Bombyx mori: one gene and its partner. The protein of the gene in region 1 purifies or fractionates together with the protein of each later gene. This does not show direct contact. Links are inferred from orthologs where the notes say so. Each region holds a gene or a part of one and is shown on either strand. Other genes may lie near its edges.

Evidence for each region.
Region 2: the proteins of protein shuttle craft (region 1) and la-related protein 1 purify together in Homo sapiens (affinity purification with mass spectrometry, with the first as the bait; 3 studies listed by BioGRID). This does not show direct contact. The link is inferred for Bombyx mori from reciprocal best matches to the Homo sapiens genes NFX1 and LARP1.

What each region holds. Positions count from the first base shown.
Region 1 is NC_085123.1:3,121,750-3,125,249, reverse strand, and holds part of protein shuttle craft, read left to right. Parts: intron 1-1,289; coding exon 1,290-1,442; intron 1,443-2,266; coding exon 2,267-2,406; intron 2,407-3,353; coding exon 3,354-3,471; 3' UTR 3,472-3,500. UniProt on the Homo sapiens protein: Binds to the X-box motif of MHC class II genes and represses their expression. May play an important role in regulating the duration of an inflammatory response by limiting the period in which MHC class II molecules are induced by interferon-gamma.
Region 2 is NC_085117.1:2,878,319-2,881,818, reverse strand, and holds part of la-related protein 1, read left to right. Parts: intron 1-532; coding exon 533-683; intron 684-1,080; coding exon 1,081-1,143; intron 1,144-1,626; coding exon 1,627-1,758; intron 1,759-2,568; coding exon 2,569-2,666; intron 2,667-3,405; coding exon 3,406-3,500. UniProt on the Homo sapiens protein: RNA-binding protein that regulates the translation of specific target mRNA species downstream of the mTORC1 complex, in function of growth signals and nutrient availability.

The DNA.
Region 1 (3,500 bases):
ATGGGTGGACGAGCTCACAGCCCACCTGGTGTTAAGTGGTTACTGGAGCCCATTGATATCTACAACGTAAATGCGCCACCCACCTTGAGATATAAGTTCTAAGATCTCAGTATAGTTACAACGGCTGCCCCACCCTTCAAACCGAAACGCATTACTGCTTCACGGCACAAAAAGTGCTGAATCTGTACTGGCGCTTTATACTACGATTCGAGTAAAGCGATGTAAAAGTGCTGATGTGAATGCGCGCGTGCCATGTACGGTACATGACTCGTACAGGCCCCTTTAAACAAAATATATATAATACTATAGTAGAATTATTTTGTCCGTGCAGCTTGGATCATAAAACATAGCCCGGCTAGGGCAGTGAGCATATTGCGCGGGCGCAACGCCATTATGAATAAAAACAAATGAGTCATCGAGGGCACCTTACACGGCGGTGGGGTGGTATACGAAGGGTGGTGAGACATTGTTATGTTATGAGTCATTTGTACTTACCTGCAAATTATAGTACATTATGTCGAAGAGAAATGTGTTTTTATGCATTCGTTCTCTGAATTTCTTTAGTGACACAATGGTCACTCTTTGTTTTGTATCAAAACGGCAAAATTTATTTAAAATAGTATTTGCACGTGTTATTATCAACATAGTGTTAAAAATTTTCACTGAAATAAAAATAGATCCCGAAAAGCTACAAAATGTTAATTTCTGCCGTTCTCGTTAACTTTCTGCGGCGATATGTGGTGTAAGTGTTCGAGTAGTGATTTTTTCTTTCATTTTTATCACTAACCCACAAAATGATAAAACTAAATACACTATCGATAACGCTTATCGTCAACAATAATGCGCATCACTATGCCCGTCCATAAGACTCATGAGTGGAAGAGAGAGCGAAATACTCGCTTCACCGCTCCGATTTTTTATGACCCAAACTGCACGGACAAAATAATTCTACTATAGTAATCTATATATATAAAAATGAATTGCAGTTCGTTAGTCGCTAAACCTCGAGAACGGCTGGACCGATTTAGCTAATTTTGGTCTTGAATGATTTGTGAAAGTCCAGAGAAGGTTTAAAAGGTAGATAAATATGAAAATGCTCGGAATTCATTAAAAATAACAATTTTGTTTTCCCATTGATGTCCCCCCGTCGGACGGTTTCCTTTTGTTTGTGTCTTTTATTTATCGATTGAGGCACTACGAAGTCTGCCGGGTCAGCTAGTAATAAATAAAAAAATCGCACCCAATCTATTACGTTCGAATTTTAAAATTGTTATCAATTTTCCCCCCAGTCGAAACAGAAGACGCGCTCGCACTCTTTCCCGTCGATGAACAGACAGAAGCGGCAGTTCATCCACGAGCTGTGCGAGCACTTCGGCTGCGAGAGCGTGGCCTACGACGCGGAGCCCAACAGGAACGTGGTGGCCACTGCCGACAAGGAGAAGGTGCCTTACCACTGCAATTATTACCTTACGAGACGATGACCAAACTTTGCTCGTTTTTTTTTTTTTGTTTGATAAATTGTGTTTTTTAGAAATTATATTTAAATACGAATTACATAAAAATTCCAAGATCGTTTAGGCATTTTTAAGTGGCTTCGGGTGACTTAACAACGCCATCTGCTGAAATAGCTTTAGTGTTATTGTGTCTTTAAAGCAGTTAGTTGCTCTCAATTATGAAAAATAGTATTATTATTCGCCAATAGATGTCGGGAACAGTCATAAAGTTGATTATCGATAAAGTTGATTATTGAAAACACGAATAAAACAACATTTTCTGAAAATAAATCGTAGCTAGATCGATTTATCGCCCCCGAAATCCCTTGTGTACTAAATTTGTCGGTGGTAGCTGACACGATACATAAGTCGTGAAGTTTTTTTTTTATTGCTTAGTTGTGTGGACGAGCTCACAGCCCACCTGGTGTTAAGTAGTTGCTGGAGCCCATAGACCGCACGGCCGTGTAAGGCCGCACGGGTAGGTACCACCGTCTTGTCTATTTCTGCAGTAATGCGTTTCGGTTTGAAGGGTGGGGCAGCCGTTGTAACTATACTAAGACCTTAGAACTCACATCTCAAGGTGGGTGGCGGCATTTGCTTTGTATTTGTATGTCTATGGGCTCCGGTAACTACTTAACAACAGGTGGGCCGTGAGCTCGTCCATCTAAACCACAAAAAAACGTGGAGAAGGAAGAATTTCGTACATTGCTCTTTAGAGTCGGGTAGTGTAACAAGGTAATACAGTGTGTGATATTTGATCGTTGTGTTGACAGTCGTGGTTGCCGGCGATGAGCATAATGGAAGTGTTGTCGCGTGAGGCGGGCCGGCGGCGCGTGCCCGGCCCCGTGCTGCGGACCGCGCACTCCTCCGCCGCCTCTTCAGCCTCGACGACCTCCTCCTCCGCCGCTAACAAGTAACTATTAAACAATACTGTTGGGGTCCAAGGGGAAGTTTTTAAAGTTCCAAAAGAGTATGTTGTTTGAGCAACTTTATTATTGTGACGCGCTGAGGTTCGGGATAAATAAAATTTCACCAAAGTACAACTTAAAAACTGTATTCAACACTTAAAACACTTAATCACTTCAACACACTGCGTGCCATCCCTACAACGCTTTTATAGCCGGTACCTCATCGCTAGAATCATCGAGAATATTCCACACATCTCTAGTCGTAGTTCATGCTATCTGACCATAGATAGCGTTGTAATTCTCGACTATTCGGCGATAGATGGCGTTACGCTTACCAGCGTAACATTATGTTAGCTAAATACAAATGGTAGCGTGTTAACGAGTACATTTTGCTAAGTGCGCTGCTATACAAGAATATAATAAAATAATTAGATACCACAATGACGACGCACGGCGCGTCAACGTATTGAGTTATGTATGTACATACCGTCAATACAAATGATATTATTGAACGGATTCCTATCACGGCTTATGAATTCAGTGAGTTGTCGATATAGAAAAACGCCATGGTCACTGGAAAATTCAAGTCTTCCGCCGATAATAATCATTTATGTATATAGTGTTTTGTCTTTTCCTGGAAGCCTGGATCTCTACCAATTATTTGGAACAAATACAAATTGAAAAACTGAAACAATTGACATCCAACCCCATGCCTCTGAAGTTCGGATAAAGCTAATGATCCTGAACATTTTTTTTTACAACCCAATAAAATTATAAGCATTTCAAAATTTTACAGTACACAAAGAAAAAGATAAATTTAAAAGTCGTTCACTTACCTATAATTCTATAATTAAAATGTATTGTAATAATGTTGACTATACAAACACCAGTTTAAGTGAAACACTGATATATAGAAATTTCTAGATGATGACAATGCTTTTCTTGTCCGAAGGTCGCCAGGCGGTTGGGCGACGCTGACGTCATCGAACGCCTGGGCGTCGCGCAGTCAGCCCAAGCAGACGGCGGCCGAACCCAAGATCGATTACTTCGACAATCCGCCAGAAAATTAACTCAAAACGTAACAACGCGTCCATTGAAT
Region 2 (3,500 bases), on another chromosome or scaffold:
CCTAGACTTGAAAAGGTCACGATAAGAAGGTTATCGTATCTGTGTTCTCATATGCTGGTCTGATGCTGTGTAAATGGATCTACACGAGCTCCCACTGCCTGTTGTCGGAGGGCAAATAGTATTTCAAATATTATAGTGTTACGTGCTGGGGTTCGGGATAAATAAGCACTTAGAACACTCTTAATTCGCTTCAGGTGATCCCTTCGCTGTTTCGCTTCGAATAGTTACTGACTGACTGCGTGCCGTCTCTGCACGGCTTTTATAGTCGAGACGACATCCCTAGAGTTATCGAGAACAATCCTCACAAGTCGAGTATTTTCGGTGTGTGTTTCCTCGATCTGACAATAGATGGCGTTGTACTTCTCGAGCATTCTAAATGCTACTAGATCCTTCGATATTCGTTCGGCTATTCGGCGATAGACGGCGCTACTCTTACCGGCGTAACCATAGTATCGCATATAGAATGTTCTATACAAAAGCGCGCAATGGAACAAGGCCGTAGTCGGTAATGTGACGTGACGCGCGTGCGCAGGTCCGACGAGGAGTCGGACGCGGAGTTCACGGACGGCGATGTGGGGCGGCTGCTGATCGTGACGCAGACGACGCGTGCCGCCAAGCACGACGGACACGACCGCCAGGGGGACTGGACCAGCCGCACCAAGATCACGCAGGACCTCGAGCAGGTGGGTGCCGGGGCTGATCTCCGTCTTTAAGTTTAAAAAAAACTAGCGACCCGCCCTCGCTTCGCTTCGGAAACTGTAATTTATTATTGATTTCTCCACTATTTAATGGATGTTATTATACATATAAACCTTCCTTTTCAATCACTCTATCTATTAAAAAAAACCGCATCAAAATCCGTTGCGTAGTTTTAAAGATTTAAGCATACATAGAGACAGACAGATATAGGGACAGAGAAAGCCACTTTATTTTATACTATGTAGTGATTATGTAGTATGTAAGTGTGGGAGGCTAAAACGACAATAGGAAAGATCTTCCACCGAGCCGGTGATACTTTATAGTTAAAAAGAGGGTACTTTTGTTTTTTTTAACATATTCATAATTATTATTTTTAAACAGGTCATTACCGACGGACTGCGTCGTTACGAAGAGGACCTGTGGAACGACACAGAATATACTTCAGTGAGTGTTGGATTTGATTCATGATTTTTTTTTGTACCTAAGCTGGTGTAATCTAAGGAGTTATGCCAGCGTCAGCGAACGAGTAGGTGAGCTTACGGGGCTCTAACCTGACGACGCAGCTAACACTAACCCTAACAAGAGTAGTGCTTCGCAGAATCTACCACCGGATCGGAAACGCGACCCACTGAGAAGATCCGGCGAGAAACTCAGTGGGCTGTGTCTGTGGGTTCATTTACTCGTCGAGCCCTTCGTCGCAAGCGACGGGTTCGACGAGGACGGTGACCGGGTTCAACTCGAAAGACAATATATCCGATGGTAGATTTGCCGAAGCACGGCTCTTGCTAGGGCCAGTGTTGGTAACACTCCTGATTAGAGCCCCGTGAGCTCACCTACTCGTCAAGGAGAAGCTGATATAGTCTCCCAAGGCTATCAGCATAAGTAGAGAAAAAAGGGTTGAATTATTAATGAGTACAATTGTTACAGTCGTACGGTAGCGGCCGTGAGTACCGCACTGTGAGCCTGATCAGCCGTGAGCAGTTCGAGGCAGCCGTGCCAAACGAGCGGCATAGGAACCCCGCCCGCCCCCCGCCGCCCCCCGCGCACCCCCACCACCAGGTACACATGGTCGGATCGGATAATACGGCTTACCAGCAAATGGTTTACGCCTTCTTTTTTTTTATTGCCCTTGTAGGCCGACGAGCATACGGCCCATCTGATGGTGACTGATTACCGTCGCATATGGACTTCAGCAATGCCAGGGGCAGAACCAAGCCGCTGCCTTGCTACCTTTAGCCGAAATTGCAATCTTTAGAGTAAATTTTTTTAGAAAAACTTTTAAATATGTAATACTATTCTATGAAATGGTCAAATAATAGGGGTTAAAGTATGAAATTGCCATGCAAAATTGAAACGGACTACCCTTTTTTTCGTGATTTGGAAAATTTTCTACGTGATAAAAAGCTTTCTTCCCTGGAGGCAGTACAAAATGCTTTCACACACTTTTTAGAATTTAGATCACTAGAGTTCTATCGCAAAGGCATAAATGACCTTCCTATTCAATGGCAGCAATGTATAGATAATAATGATAGATATTTTGATTAAATAAATAATATGTTGAATGAACAAAAAAAAAAAACAAATTTCAATTTTGCGGTACAAATCGACAATTTCATACTTTAACCCCTAATATAATATTGGCAATATTTATTAATTATAATGCATTAGTCTTACCCTGTTAAAAAAATCACGAAGAATTTGATCGCGTTCGGGGATCCATTTAATACACTTAAAGAAATAACAATGTTTACGAGATTAAAGTTTAACAGAACACGTCGCGTCACGACACGCCACGACAAGCTACTCAAGATCATGTATACAGAACGCGTCGCATTACGACAAGACACTAGTATTAAATTGTTTTCGCAGGTGGATCAGCAGCCGGCCGGTGGCGGCAAGGCGTCTCGTCCCCGGCGAACCGCGCGCTTCTACGCGGCCAGCAAGGACCCACACGCTACCGATGTCATGTCAGTAAACATGCCAATATTACATTTATTTTTAACACGCTTTTATTAGCTTCAGACATATGAGTCGTCTATTATCAAAGGTGGCAATCTGTGCATTTGGACAAAAAAAAATTATTGATATGTCAATACAGATTGATTTGAATATAATCGTCTCCTTCAAAGAATACGGTTCAAAACCTGCATTAAATAAAGGTTAATAGTTAACCTGTTATTTATCTAAGATGTCGTTCCGAAGAGTTTTGTGACTGCCAATGGAATACAAAGTCAATAATTCGTTTTTCTGATTTACCAATCATTGTCCAAAAGTCAGATTGCCGGCTTTGATAATAGTCGACTCATATGTATGTTTGTAACGGAATCTTTCAACATGATTTTGACCCCCTTCAAAACGTCGTGTTAACTCGAAATTTGGTATACTTATTAAGGACCGATGACAATTCAATATTAAAAAAATAATTGAAAATATTGAAATTCCACTAAAAAATTAAAAATAAATACTTAATAGTTTAAAAAAAACAAAAAAATACGCTTTTATAGAAAATACAACTAAAAAATAGAAAATAAATTTTAATAAATTTGAATTAAAAATAGTGTAAGGAAAAATGATTTTTTTGTAAAAAAGCGTGGGGTGCATGGTATCAGTAGTCGACGAACAAGTCGACGTTTAAACCACCCAAGACTACGCCCCACCACTACCATCCGTGCTGTGATTAAGGATACCCTGAATTTATATTTGCAGCTGCAGCAGGAAGCACAAGACCAGATACAGCCTCAACCCGCCCGTGGAGCACCACGTCGGCTGGATCATGGACGTGCGCGAACACCGACCCAGGA